2 linked regions of the Diceros bicornis minor genome follow. The protein of the gene in region 1 interacts with the protein of each later gene in a pairwise test. Links are inferred from orthologs where the notes say so. Each region holds a gene or a part of one and is shown in the gene's direction. Other genes may lie near its edges.

Region 1 (7,974 bases):
AGTTAGGTTGTTTCCATATCTTAGCTACTGTGAATAATACTGCAATGAACATGGGGTTGTAGACATCTCTTCGAGATACTGATTTCTTTCCTTTGGATAAATACCTGGAAGCGAGATTGCTGGATCATATGGTAATTCTATTTTGAACTTTTTGAGGAACCTCCCTACTGTTTTCCATAATGGCACTCCCACCAACAGTGCACAAGGGTTCCCTTTTCTCCACATCCTCACCAACACTTGTTATCTCTTGTCTTTCTGATAATAGCCATTCTAACAGGTGGGAGGTGATATCTTATTGTGGTTTTGATTTGCAGTTCCCTGATGATTGGTGATGTTGAGCATCTTTTCATGTACCTGTATGTCTTCTTTGGAAAAATGTCTATTCAGGTCCTCTGCCCACTTTAAAATCAGGTTGTTTTTTAGCTATTGAGTTGTATGAGTTCTTTATATATTTTGGATATTAACTGATTATCAGATAGATGGTTTGCAAATATTTTCTCCCATTCTTTAGGTTGCCTTTTCATTTTGCTGCACCAAACTTTTTAGCATGATGTAGTCCCACTTTTCTTTTTTTTTTTTTATTTTGTTGCCTGTGATTTTGGTGTCATATCCAAAAAATCATTGCCAAGACCAATATCAAGGAGCTTTTTCCCTCTGTTTTTTTCTAGGAGTTTTATGGTTTCAGGTCTTATATTTAAGTATTTCATCCATTTTGAGTTAATTTTATGTATGGTGTAAGATAGGGGTCAAATTTCCTTCTTTTGCATGTGAATATTCATTCAACAACACCACCATTTACTGAAGAGACTGTCCTTTCCTCATTGTATATTCTTGGTGCCCTTGTCAAAGATTAGATGACCAAATATGTGTGGGTTTATTTCTGGGCTCTGTATTCTGCTCCATTGATCTATATGTCTATTTTTATGCCAACACCATACTGTTTTGATTACTATAGCTTTGTAATATAGCTTGAAGTCAGGGATCATGATGCCTCCAGCTTTGTTCTTTCTCAGGATTGCTTTGGCTATTTGGGGTCTTTTGTGGTTTCACACAAATTTTAGGATTGGTTTTTCTATTTCTGTGGAAAACGACATTGGAATTTTGATAAGGATTGCATTGAGTCTGTAGATGGCTTTGAGTAGTATGGACATTTTAACAATATTAATTCTTCCAATCCATGAGCACGGAACCTCTTTCCATTTATTTGTGTCTTCAGTTTCTTTCATCAGTGTCTTACAATTTTCAGTGTACAGGTCTTTTACCTCCTTCGTAAAGTTTATTCTTAAGTATTTTATTCTTTTGATGCTGTTGTGAATGGGGTTGTCATCTTCATTTCTTTGTCAGACAGTTTGTTGTTAGTGCATAGAAACACAACTGATTTCTGTGTGCTGATTTTGCATCCTGCAACTTTACTGAATTCATTTATTAGTTCTAACGGTTTTTTGGTGGAGTCTTTAGGGTTTTCTATGTACAAGATCATGTCATCTGCAAATAGAGACAATTTAACTTCTTCCTTTCTGATTTAGGTGCCTTTTCTTTTTCTTGCCTCAGTGCTCTGGCTAGGGCTTCCAGTCCTATGTTGAATAGAAGTGGTGAGAGTGGGCATTTTGTCTTGTTCCTGAGCTTGGAGGAAAAGCTTTCAACCTTTCACTGTTGAGTGTGTTGTTAGCTCTGGGCTTGTCATATATGGCCTTTATTACATTGAGGTTTGTTTCTCCTATACCCTGTTTGTTGAGGGTTTTTATCATGTAGGATGTTGAGTTTTGTCAAATGCTTTTCCTTCATCTATTAAGATGACCATATGATTTCTATCCTTCATTTTGTTAATGTGGGGTAGCATATTACAGACAGGTGTGTCTCCTCTGGGTCCCTGAGTGGGCAGGACTGCTCCTGGACCATGGCTAAGAGAGGCTAGAGCCGGTCCCAGGGCCGCTTCAGGGCCCACAGCCAGAACCAAATTCAGCAGGCCTGTTACCAAAGGCATAGGCAGGCCTGATTCCTGCCAGGTCCCTTGGCAGGTGGTGCTGGTGGCAGGACAAAGGCCAAATGGAGCTGCAGTCAAGTCCATGGGAGGATGGGCCTGATTCTGGGTCTGTGACTGAGACCAAGGTCAGCAAGTCAGACACCTGGGTGCAGGCTGACTCACAATGACCCTGCTTGGTCTTGGGCTCCACCAATGTTTCACAGTCTCTACCTGGATCCCAAAGGTCTCTCAAAGGGTCTTCTGTCTGTGGATGGCTACCAAATTATTGTTGCTGAGGTGGGATATGATGGGGGACCTCCTATTCCGCCATGTTGCTGACATCACTTCCTGGTCCTTAAATCTCTTGACTGTCCAGAACATGTGGCCATGGCCTGTCTCAGGTCTGGGTGGAATCCATGGCAGGGGCAGATGGGGCTCTGGTGGGTGCTGGGTGCTGCTTCTTCCCATTTCCCCTGAATTATCCTATGAGCTCTATCCCCAAGACTCCAGTTCACCCCCAAACCTTATCCCATAAGTGCCTCTGTGTGAAGCAGAAAGAGGTGTCCTGGGGTGGGGGAGGAATTACAGAAGAGGCCCCCATGGTGGACCAGCTACAACAGGGCATTGTTCAGGGCAGTCTCCACAGCCATGGGTGGTGGCCAGTGGCCAGTGGTGCCCAGAGTTCCCCATCTCAGGGAATGGTGCTTCGGTCTCTCCAGTTTTACATGTCTGCAGACCCAGGCTGCATCCCTGATGCCCCCTCTCCCTTACTCCCTTACTCCTCAGTATCAGATTCAGGGGCAGGTCCTATTGATTTCACCCCTTGGAATCTCTTGATTCTGTCCACTTCTCTGCATCTCAGTCTCCATTGTGACCACCCTAGTCCAGGCCTCCATCATCTCTTGCCTGGACCCCTGCCATAGCCTCCTCAAATGCTCCCTCCAAATCAGTACCCCTCCTCCCACCCTCAATTCATTTTCCAGCACTCCAGCCTGAGTGACTTTTGAATATGCAAATCTGATCATATACACCCTTGCCCCAAACCTTGTAAAGCCTTTCCATTACTTGAGGATCAAGACAAAATTTGTCCCTTGGCCAATAAGGACCTGCATAGCCCACATCCTAACTACCTTTCCTGTGACATCTCACAACCTTCCTCCTCAAAGCTCTAACACAGCCATAGCTGTGTGACCCTGGGTGTGTAGCTTAACTTCTCTGAACTTCATGTTGTTCACAAAGAATAGGGATCATAATAAGATGTGCCTGGCTTGAGGTGTGGTAACTCAACACATGGTAACGTGATCATTTCCTGAGTCAGACCCTCTGCTAAACCCTTTACAAACTCTGCTTCAATGAATCCTCCCAATATCCCAGGAGCTGTGCGTTGGAGCCAATTTCCCTGCTGGGCAGGAAGGAGCAGGCAAACCCATACCTGAAAGAGAGCTCAGACGAGGACTTTGTGATATTTTGAAATAATGTGAAAAATATCACCCTACATTTATCGGCTTTCTAGTTGGATATTCACGTATTTATGTTAACAATTCTTACATAGTTATGAGTTTAGATTCCTCTGTGATTGAGGCAGAGGTGGGGCTAGAAAGCACGGCTCTCCAGAACTTTTCTCCCCTGGTCCTCTCTCAGGATTTTTGTGGTTAGCTTTTCAATTCTCTTCCCCACTGTGAGCAGACTCTAGACCAAGGTGTTTCTGATTCCAAACCCCACTTCTGTGTGTCCTTGCTGAACAATTTTTGCAATCTCTCTGAGACTGTTCCTCAACTCTAAACAGGACAGATGTCATTTCAATATCAGCATCTTTTCCAGCACTGACTTTCTGTGGTTCTTTGGAATTTCTTTAAGGCACTTTTCCTGCAAAGGAATCCAGCGCCCGGCCTCAGCAGAACCCCTGGTGTTAAATCCTGGAGGACATGCTAACTCAACAAGGTTGCCCCAGGCCGCACAGCTGGTTACTGCCCTGAATCACGTTTTCATTAGTGGGAAAGGGAAGGGGGCAGGAGACTCTGGGAAAAGCGTTTTATTTTTCAAATGAAAACAGCTCCCTCGTTTTGTGTTTGGATGATCATTGTAAATAACTCGGAAAATAGAGGTGAGTACGTATAAAGAAGAAAAATGAAAAGCAATGGTAACGCCAGCACACAGAGATAGAGAAGCAGGAAAGTTTCTGGGAATTGTCTATTTCCAGGTAGGGGAATAGGGATTTTTCCCTACCAGTACCCACAAAGGCGCATTTACGCTATATAAATATAATATAACCACATTCATACTATATTTATATTCATATGTAATATAGCTTATACATTACATATATACATATTATACATAATATATTAATTACATAAAAATGCATAGGCATATAATTTATATATATTGTTTCCACGCGCGTGCACTCGCGACTGTCTGGACAGACGCTGGGGACCCTTGAACACCACCAGTATTTGGGGGAACCCCGCCGGAACCGGAGCACGGGCCGGGCGCAGCTGCCTCGAGCATCTGAACTACAAGTCCCAGTGGCCCAAGGGGCGCGCGCGGGACACGCGACCGGAGTGCGGACAGACTACAAGTACCGGCAAAGCATGGCGCAGAGGCACGGACTACAAGCCCCAGGATGCACTGCTCGCGGTTCGCGCAGGGCCCCCCGGGATATGTAGTCATGGGGGGGGAGCTAATTCCTATTCATTCAGCCTCAAAGAAAATGCAAATTCTTCCAACGGTCCACCGACGCGACTTCTCACGGCCTAGCGAGGAGACCGAGCGCACGATGGGGAAGAAAGAACTCTGCAGGGCCCAAACTGTGGCACGGAAGAAGGACGCGTGCGCATGCTCTGCGGTCGTCGGCGCAGGCGACAGCGACCTCGGGAGGCCACGAGCGGCAAGCCCCGCCCCCTTCCCCGCCCCCGCTCTCGGAGCGCCCCGCCCAGGGAGCCTGCGCAGACGGTGCAGGGCGGAGGGCCGCGGGGAGGGACTCCTGGCGCCTGCGCAGACCCGCGGCTTCTCTCGCGAGGACGGACGCCATTATCGCATCTCCCCGACAAACACCACGAGAATTCCGCAGCCCACACGGTAATTGCAGCTCCCGCAGTCGGTCGCGTCTCCACCTCCCCCTTCCCGCGGGGCGAGAGCGAGAGCGAGATCTCCCCTCCTCCCTCCACCCTGCGCCCTCCTCCGGCCGCCGCGCCCGCCGCCCCCGCCCGGGACACCCTGTCCGGGCCGCGGACGGCCCGCCGCCCCTTCAGCCTCCTCAGGCCCCCGGCCCGCCGCCCGCTCGGCCCCCTCAGCCGTCTCCGCGCCCTCGGGCCCCGGCCTCGCCCCCTCAGCCCCGCCGCCTCCTCAGCTCCTCCGGACCTGACCCCGTCCCCGCCGCCCCCTCAGCGCCCTCGGACCTGTTAGCCCTCCGGGCCCTCCTGCCCGGGTCCTGCCGTCCGCCCTCAGAGCCCTGGTCCCGTCAGTTCCCCGCCGTCCCGCCGGCCCCGTCCGCCCGGCCGGGGGCTTGACCGCCTCGGTCCCGGGCCCTGCGCACTCGCGTTCCCCGAGGAGGGTGGTATCCGCTTCTGTGCATCTCCCCCCACTGCCGTGCGGGCCGTGGACGGGCGGGGGCGGCCCGGCCCTGCGTCCCCCCCGTGGGAGCGGCCCCGCCGGCCCCCGCGCCCGGACGGACGCTCGCGGCTGCCGGACGTGCCGGCCGGGTTGTCACCTGTTTGGGAAAGTGGAAAAACCGAGAAGGCACAGAACGCCCCGCGGTGTCGCGCCCCGTCAGGCGGACTTCCGATCGAGCGCCCGCGGGGCCCGTGAAACGGAGCCCGGGCGTCGGGACGCAGACGCGGAGCCTCTGATGGCGGGGTTCACGAGGGAGAGGGAACGGGGGCAGGCCGGGAGGGGGCGGCTGGGGGCCTCGGTGGAGGCGGCTGTCGCCCCCCTCCCCGCCCCCCCCCAGTATTTTTTGCCGTGTCTGTGATTGCATCTTTTCGAGTTGTGGCCTTAGCTTTTTGCACGGAGGTGCTGTCCTCACAGCCCGTGCCCCGCTGTGCGCACTGAGGACGCCGCCTCGGGGGGCCGGGTCTCCCTGGGGGCCGGGGGCGGGGCGGAGGAGTCACCTCCCCTGAGAACGCGGACCCGGGCCTCCAGCGTAGGGAGCCCGCCCCGAGGCCCGCTCACAGTCCGACGACGGGGACAGGTGATCTCCGCGGGGAGTCGCCCGTCCGCCCGACGGCGCTGCTGCGCAGCCCCGAGGTGACTGGTGACGAGAGCGGACCGTCCTTCTGAGGGGGCAGGGGCACGGAGGTTTGGGAGACGGAGGCTGACGGGGCAGTTGCGTGGTCCTCAGGACGTGCGGGAGGGAGGCGCCCCTCAGAGCGCAGGTGATGTCGTTGACGTTCGGCTTGTGGGCCAGCCCTGGACAAACGTCCGGTGGGGAAACGCCAGAATTGCCCGCACAGTTCGTTCTGTATGTTCAGCTCCTTTCCCCTCTGTCTTGCAATGAGAACAAGAATATGTTCTTGGGATGTTGGACTGTGTCATCGTGGGCTTTAATTTTGAAAAGTCAGCTGCCATTTCTGGGTCGTGTGCTGTGGCCGGGACTGCTGACCCTTTCCGGTGACTCCCGACACGACGACGCGGGGAGGCCGAGACCGCTCCGTCTGACAGAGGAGGCGCTGAGGCCGGGAGGCTAGGGGCCGCCGAGGCCACGGAGCCGCGGTGAGCTGTCTGGAGGCTGTGCGCTTAACAGTGCAGACGTGCGCTTCGTGTTGTCACGTAGCGTCCAGGTGAGGTGTCCATACGGCGAAAGCAGCAGTCCCCTGTGCCGCCTTTCAGTCCCACTCCCCAAAGACTTGTGTTTTTGTTGTTTCTTCAGGAAGGTCTCCAAAGCTCTCAACAATAAGCTGGTGTTTTGTTGATTTTACACATTGTTGACTTTTTGTTACGAAAGGATGCTTTAGCTCTCCTGTCGGATCTCACTCCTCTATACCCTGAATTCACTATGTTCAGTTAACTCAGATGGTTTGTAACTGCAGATATTGTTTGCTTCACAGCCAAGTAATGCATTTCCCTCACACAGCTTGATGTGTTTGCTGTCGTTTGTAATGGCCTTTCTTTTTCTTTGCGTTTTCTGCTCCCATTGACTGCTTATATTGTTTTAAATTCTCAAGGATAGTGTCACATCTCTCCAACTTTCCCCCTCCTCCCCAGCCCTCTGTTCTCTTTTTCCAGTCTGGATTGATTTTTAGGCCAGCACAGGTATTATCCTGATATTTTCTTTTCTTATACATCTGGGTTTGTTCAGGACTCCATGTTTTAATCTTGGCTTCCTTCATCATTTCAATGAGAACCTTCTGCCAAGTAGATGTATTCCTTTTGGGTAACTCTTAAGGATCCTCTTTGGTTTTAGGACATTCCCAGAGTGTCAAAAAATGTGGAATCCCATTCCGAATGCTCTTTGACTCTGGGAAATTCTCTTGTATCATTTATTTGAGAATTTCTTCCACTTTGCTTTTACTCTTCTCAATTTGGGTTCCTGTTTGATGATGGTCATCTTGGATTGACCCCCTGAATCTCTTTGTCTTCTTCCTGTGTCATTTTATTCTCATTTCTGGGAAAGGGCTTCAGTTTATCTTCCAATCTTATTTTAAGTTTTTATTTCCACAATCGAAATTTTAATGTCCAAGAGCTTATTTTTTCTGTTTTTTTTCATAGAAACTTATTGTTTTATGAATACATTCGTTGTCTCCTTGACTCTGAGGATACAAATAAGGGTTTTAGTTCTCTTTTTGTTCTCTGATTTCTTGTTTCCTCTAGTGTCACTGTTGTTTTCTTTTTTAACTTGGTGGCTTCTTGTTTCATATAGCAAGTGCTCCTCAAATATTGGTAATTATTGTCTAAGGCAAGAGGAAGTGGGCAGAAAGCTCCGAGTCTGTGGGGCTCGTCTTGAAAATACGTGGGTTTCCCTTTGGGTGATTGGGAACTTACTACTGTGCTGGGTCCTCAAATGCCAGATCGCA
Region 2 (7,476 bases), on another chromosome or scaffold:
TGTGTGAGCACACAGAGATGTATGTGCATGTACAGCCCCAGACAACAGTAAACATCTACTCAGCACTTACTATATGTTAGGCAATGTTTTGAGAGCTTTCCATGAATCAGCCCATTTAATCCTCACAATACTATGAGGTGGGTCCCATTATGATCTCCATTTTGGAGATGAGTAAACTGAGGCATAGAGAGCTCTTAACCATTTTGCTATTCTGCCTCTCATTTAAACTTCATAGCAATTCTACAAATTACATGTCATTTCAATTTTACAGATGAGGAAGTACGTTCCAAAAGATTAAGCATTTCAGAGCCAGCCCTGATGGCCTAGTGGTTAAAGTTTGGTGTGCTCCGCTTTGGCAGCCCGAGTTTGGTTCGTGGGTGCAGAACCACACTTCTATCCGCCAGTAGCCATGCTGTGGCAGTGGCTCACATAGAAGTAGAAGGACCTACAACTAGAATATACAACTATGTACTAGGGCTTTGGAGAGGGAAAGAAAAACGAGAGAGAGGAAGATCAGCAACTGATGTTAGCTCAGAGCAAATCTTTCCCAGCAAAAAAAAAAAAAAAGATTAAGCACTTTACCCAAAGCCACCCAGTTAGTAAATGACTGAGTTGGAATACTTGGCCAAGCTTGTCTGAGTTCAATATCCCTTGTTCAGTCTGCTTTTATCAATAGAGACAGATGCTTGACCTTTCTGTGCCTTGGTTTTGCCATCCATAAAATAGGAGGAAATCAACCTAGTGTCAAATATAAAAAATCCTAGCCTGGTCATCTTTGGAAGATCTACCTTTTTGGGGTGGAGGTAGGGTGATAAATTTCAACACTGGCCAGCCCTCCTGGGACCCTTGCTGGACAGAATTCTGGAAAACAGCTTCATTCCTGTCTTCAGAAGGTCTGACAGGGCCAGAGGAGAAAGCCTGAAATAGAACTGGCTGCCCTTAAGCCTCCACGGGCTCAAGGAAGCTGTTTGTCTAGCTCTGAATAACCCATTCTACGAAGACTATTCTGGGAATTGCCTTATGTGGCAGGGCATTGGCCTGGAGGATTCTGCTGCGCCACATGAGCCCTCCTCCTCATCCCCACCATCGGAGATAAGAACTGACACTATGCAGCCTTGAGGAATGCAAGTTAAAAAGTGTGAAGATATTTAAAAGCATGAAAAGTTATCACAAGGAAGGTGGGAACCAGTTCGTCTCCATCTCTACTGAAGCCTGGACAAGAGGACAGGGATTTAGATTAGATGTAAAGAACTTCCTGATACAGCAGAGAGAGGCTGGAACAGATTACGTCAGGTTCAAGAAAACGAGCTGTGAATCTATTCAGACCAACAGAAATGTAACGGAGCCACACATGTAACTTTAATTTTTTAGTTGCCACATTAAAAAAATAAAGAGGTGAAGTTAATTTTTATAATGTATTTTATTTAGCCCAATATATCCAAAATATTAACAATATAAAATAATGTAATCAATGTAAAAATACTCAGTGAGATATTTCATATTGTTTTTCATACTGTTTTCAAAACCAGTGTGTATTTTACGCTTACAGCATATCTCAGTTCAGACTAGCCCCATCTCAAGTGCTCAATAACCACATGTGGCTAGTGGCTACTGCACTGGGCAGCATATCTAGAATTACTAATGACTGTCTGACACCCAATGGCAAATACAAGGTGTAGTCTGGCTTTATCTAAAGGCAGAAAGTTCTCTAGAAGACCTGAGGGCCTATGAGGGTGAAGGCCAAGAAAACCCTACCTTTTGGAGCCCTTCTCATTGCTAGAAATACGAAGACTCATCACCCTCCGGCAATTCTTAGAACCCACTCCGCAGTGTTCTCTGTTCTCTTTCAGTAGGGGGACCCCGGGCTCCCTCAGGTCTGTCAGATTCAGTGTTTGGTGGCTTGTTAACCCAGGTGGGAAGAGCACTGCCCAGAAGAGCAAGGAAAAGGGTTCCATCCTGGGGTGGACGAGGTAGCCCTATTCTCTCCCCAGCAGGAGATGATGCTCTTTACCCTGGCCAGTCCATCATCTTGCTGGTGTGAATGGCTGTTCGCAGGAGGAGCCAGGCCAGACAGAGGGGATGGAGAGGTGCAAACCTACCCCTTGTCTGAGGTATGGTTGGTGACATAAGCCCTGACCCAGCCCAGCCCATCTTACCTGCACTATTCCGCGTTCTCTGTTTGCAGCACCCCTCCTCCAGGTATCTGCACAGCCCTCCCCCTCACCTTGTTCTCACCTCTGCACAATGTCATCTGCTCTAAAAAAGCCAGCCCCATCCACCACCCCATCACTCTCTCTCTTCACACCCTGTTTTATTTTTCTTCAGCACTTACCACTACCTGACATTATAAATTTAGTTGTTCATTGTCTGCCTTCCTCGTTAAAACGTGAATTCCAGGAGAGCAGGGTCTTCATCTGGTTCACCACTGTACGCCCAGGGCCTAGCTAGAGAGAGAAATCTGATAACAGATGAGCCAGGGCTATAAAAAGTCTGATACCGACTGTTGGCGAGGAAGTGGGGCCTGAGGACCCCCACACACTGCTGACTGGAGTGCACATTGGTACAAATACCTAGGATAGCAATCTGGCATTATGCCAAAATAGCAAAGACTTGTATCTGATGCCCCAGAAATTCCATTCCTAGGTATATACTCCAGAGAAATGCTTATACATGTACCCCAGGAGATACATGCAAAAATGTTCATAGCAGCATTGTTTGTAAGAACAAAAAATGAAAAATAACCTAAATTTCCTAAATGTGATGTATTCATATAGTGGAATACTATACAGCAGTTAAAGTGAATTAACTAGAGCTATACATATCTCATGGATGAATCTCACTAATAAAATATGGAGCAAAAAAGAGAAAGTTGCAGAAGAATACACAGACAGTTCCTGATTTAGGATGGTTCGACTTAACGTTTTTCAACTTTATGATGTTGTGATAGCGATACGCATTCAGTAGAAACTGTACTTCGAATTTTGAATTTTGATCTTTTCCTGGGCTAGTGATGTGCAGTACGTAGTCTCCTGTGACGCCGGCCAGCGGCAACAGCCACAGCGCCCAGTTACCCACACGATCACGAGGGTGAACAACCGATACACCTACAACCATCCTGCACCCACAGAGCCACTCTGTTTGTCACTTTCAGTACAGTAGTCAATAAATTTCATAAGATATTCAACACTCTATTTAGAAAATGGGCTTTGTGTTAGATGATTTTGCCCAACTGTTAGGCTAATGTAAATGTTCTGAGCACATTTAAGGTAGTAAGCTATGATGTTCAGTAGGTTAGTGTATTAAATGTATTTTTGACTTGAGATATTTTCAACTTATGATGAGTTTATTGGGACGTAATCCCCTCGTAAGTAGAGAACGATCCGTATACAACAGGTCAAACTAAATGATATATTGCTTAGGATACATATACACATATATGCATAACATACATACACATATATATGCATAATGAGTATAAGGGGAAGGATGGGGATGACAAACACCAAATTCAGGAGGCGATGTTATCCAGGGAGAAGGAGAGGTACACAGGGAGTTTCAACTATATTTGTAACAGTTTATTTTTTTAAACAAGGTGGCAAGTAAAGGGTACTGGTTATTTTTTATAATTTCCTGCATGTTTGAATTATGACTTTTTTTTAAAGAGCCAGGACTAAGGAGTCTTACACAAAGGAGAGGGAGAAGCTGGGGCCCTACTTGTGAGGAGATTCGGAGCTGTCCTTGCCACCCTCTGGACCCAGAACCCAGAGTAAATGAGCTAAGGACTCTGACGTCTGCCCACTAAGGGTGAGACACAGCACGGTGAAGCCTCTCCTGTGGGTGAGGAGGGGAGGGAAGGACGTTCGGACGCTGCGCATCTCCGTTCAGAACCTAGGTACTGGCTGCTCCCCACCGTCTGGGCTGCAAAGAACCCCAGGTGAAGCCGTGGGGAGACCGGGAGGGCACACGCACATGAGTGCACAAGCCTGCATCCCACACGCACACCAAGTGCACAGGCTGACACCCCCACGCTGACACACACCGCCTTTCACACAACCTGGCACGGACACTCTGACAGTTTACAACACAGTTACACGCCCTCGCGCACTCACACAGACATACACACACCCCTTCCACCACCCACTCCAACCAGGACCCCAGAAGTGGAGACGTTGCAGAGCCTGCCAGCTGCAGGCCCTGCCAACCCTCCCTCTCTTCTAATGCTGGGTTTTTCCAGCTGGAGCCTCACTCCCTCTACTGCAATCTCTGGAAATTCGTGTCTGACGCGGCTGCTCCTGCACATTATTTATTTATTTCCTCTTTGCCTCCCGCTGAGACCCTCCTGTCAGGAGAGCTGCAGCCCGGGAAGGGAGACAGGCGGGAAGCTGTGGGGACAGAGGAGGCAGAGAGGACGGAGGGCAGGACCACGCAGAAGCCCCCACTCTGCTCAACAAGCTCATCAAGCCCCACAGGGGCCATGAGCACCAAGCAGGAGGCCGGGAGAGAGGAGGGAGACACCAGTAGGAGGGGACAGGAGGGACAGCTTCGGGACCGAGCCCACCTGAGCCAGCAGCGCCGGCTCAAACAGGCCACCCAGTTCCTGCACAAGGACTCAGCCGACCTGCTCCCCCTGGACAGCCTTAAGAGACTCGGCACCTCCAAGGACTTGGTGAGGCAGCCCTCTCCCCTCCCCACCCCCATGGAAGTCCCCTGGCCCTTTCTCTCTGCTTCCCCACATCCTGAGGAGCAGGGGGGGAGGACCCTAAAGTGTAGACCCTAAACCTTCAGACTCCCCCTCCCTTGTTGAGAATGGGGGAGAGAGAGTCCCACTAACTCGAGGGGCTTTGCCTTGACCATTCTCAGGCTCTTGGCTGGGGATGTTCCCATGGCTTGGTGGCTCGGAGGGACCCTATTCTGATCGCTCGGCTTCCCCCAAACAGTCCAAGGCTCACCTTGGGGGTGGTGAGGAGCTGTACTGTTTAGGAGTAGAGACTTACAGGGACACGAGAAACTTCTGGAGCAGTCATTTATGGCTGCAAGGGCCTGGAGGACTAGTCAGTTTAGGGTTGTGATTTCCCTCCTCTCCCTAAACCACAGACCCCTTCATACCAGGCCTGACCATTCATTTGCCTCTTCCCTTCAGAATGAATGCATTCAAGGCCTCTGTCCTTGCCAGAGCCATCAGGAATTCATATGCCCTCCTTGGGTGCCTCCTTGCTCCCTCCTAGGCGCAATGGCCCTTCCAGGCTCCTTCCCTCCATTCCCTTGCAGCAGCTTTGCCCTCCAGAGGGAATGGGGTTGGGGGAATGACAACAAGGAGGTGAGTGGATCAGGGGTCAACTGCATGTATGCATCTCTCTGAGACAGTGGTTCAAGTGTGAGCTTTGGAGTCACCCAGCCTGGGTTCAGATCCTGGCTCCGCCAGTCACTAACTTGGGCAAGTTACTTTACGTCTCTGTGTTGTAGTTTCTCCATCTGTTAAATGAGGATAAAATTAACAGTATCTACCTCATAGGGTTGTTGTGAGAGTTATATGAGCTGATACCTATAAAGAAGTTAGAACAGCGCCTGATAACAGAAGGCACCACCTAAAAGCTAACTATTATCATTCCTCCAGCTATTGTTCCAGTCAGCCTGAGAGAGCAAGTAAGATCTGTAGGGTCCAGAGAACATGGAATCATGTCTGGCTCTGGCTCAGAGAAGAAAGGAGGGCTTCTGTAGAAGGGAGCACTCCGTTCTCTCTCCATCTCCTAGCCAGGTCTGAGAGGAGGGTACCTTGCAACCTGAGAGGCACAAAGCCATTCCTGCAGCCCCTTCTTCCTGGGAATCTGGAGGCAAACGCGGCCCCTCACTGCCTTTCCTGACCTAGTCCTACCTTTCCACATTCCTCGCAGCCAAATGTTCCCCTCCAGGAACCCAGCCCAGAGGCCAGGCAATCCCCTAACTCCATCTCAGCAGTCCCCAAAGAGGAAAAGTGATCAGACTGAGATTTCAATTCAGAGAGCCTCCAGGGGCTTGTTCTTCCTGGCAAAAACAGCAAGCACAGCTGAGAAACAGGGATGGAACAGGGAAGCAGTTTCTTTGGCTCCCAGTGGCTAGGGCCTTATAGCTTCTCCCCTTTGGGGACCATCCTACATAGATCTGGCCCTGGAGAAGATGCTCTATTAAAACTGCCATCCCAGAGTGGCAGGTCCAGCTTTCTGATGAGAAAGTCCTGGGCTTTTCACCTCTCCCTTCTGCCTCAGGACCTCCCGAATTGATCTCAAGCAGTTCCCTTGTGTGGCTTTAGGAGTGAAGACACAACAGCTGGAAGGACCTCATTGCCTCCTTCCCTGGGATAGTTCTGGAGCAAACCACACAGCGGTAGGGAGCCTGAAGCCTGCATCCACCGTGGGAAAGGTGGGAGGGGAGCTGGGAACTGCAGAGCCCTGTTTCCGGCCAGTCCCAGAGCTCACTGCCCTTTTCCCAGAGCTGTCTCCTGCTGGCAGCCTTGTGGTGGGAGCAGCCCCGAGGGCCGCATTAAGCCAAGGGTAGAAAAACAATCCCAGGCTCCCAAGGAGAGAGGGCAGGTGGAGAAGCATGTGCAGAGCCTGGAGGAATAGTCATTCTTCAGCAAGCATTGAGTGCTTACTATATTCTGAGCTAAGCCTTGAGATATAAAGATGAGTGAGGTACACACCTGACCCCAAGGGCTCTCCAGGCTATTGGGGGAGTGAAATCCACAAACAACATCTGTGAGAAGCATGACAAAGGGAGCTAAGAGATGGGATGCCGCCCCAGCCTGTGTGTGGAGGGAAGAGTACTTAAGAGGTCAGAGAGGGCTTCCTGGAGGAGGTAAACCCTGCTCTAATTATGGAATGCACATAGAATCCCACACTTAAGATAAAAATTTCTCTCCCGAATAGAGTAGTTCCTGAACAAAGTGTATTGAGCTAGTCATCCAGCCTGACCTAGAGAAGAGTGAGAAAGAGGAGCTTCAGGAAGAGGAGCAAGCAGCAGCAAAGGCATGGAGGTGAAAAACAGCCCGGTACAAGCAGTCTAAGCAGGCCCACTGGGGCGGACATTCGGAGATGGGGAGATGAGGCTGAAGACTCAGGCAGTAGCCAGGTCATCTGGGCTGTCACTTTAAAAAGCTTGGGTTGGGGCCGGCCCCGTGGCTTAGCAGTTAAGTGCGCGCGCTCCGCTACTGGTGGCCCAGGGTTCAGATCCTGGGCGCACACAGATGCACCGCTTATCCAGCCATGCTGAGGTCGCGTCCCACGTGCAGCAACTAGAAGGATGTGCAACTATGACATACAACTATCTACTGGGGCTTTGGGGAGAAAAAGGAAAAAAGGAGGAGGAGGATTGGCAATAGATGTTAGCTCAGGGCCAGTCTTCCTCAGCAAAAAAAGAGGAGTGGCATGGATGTTAGCTCAGGGCTGATCTTTCTCACAAAAAAAAAAAAAAAAAAAAGCTTGGGCTCTACCATGTAAGCAG

Evidence for each region. The genes of interacting proteins can lie anywhere in the genome.
Region 2: the proteins of BANP (region 1) and NRIP2 interact in binary tests that used the Homo sapiens proteins (3 or more experiments, as listed by UniProt). The two-hybrid records come from large-scale screens. The link is inferred for Diceros bicornis minor from reciprocal best matches to the Homo sapiens genes BANP and NRIP2.

What each region holds. Positions count from the first base shown.
Region 1 is NC_080771.1:36,394,107-36,402,080, forward strand, and holds the start of BANP (protein BANP), read left to right. Parts: upstream 1-4,964; 5' UTR 4,965-5,041; intron 5,042-5,878; exon of another isoform or gene 5,879-6,741; intron 6,742-7,974. UniProt on the Homo sapiens protein: Controls V(D)J recombination during T-cell development by repressing T-cell receptor (TCR) beta enhancer function. Binds to scaffold/matrix attachment region beta (S/MARbeta), an ATC-rich DNA sequence located upstream of the TCR beta enhancer.
Region 2 is NC_080756.1:58,536,877-58,544,352, forward strand, and holds the start of NRIP2 (nuclear receptor-interacting protein 2), read left to right. Parts: upstream 1-4,459; 5' UTR 4,460-4,474; coding exon 4,475-4,666; intron 4,667-7,476. UniProt on the Homo sapiens protein: Down-regulates transcriptional activation by nuclear receptors such as NR1F2.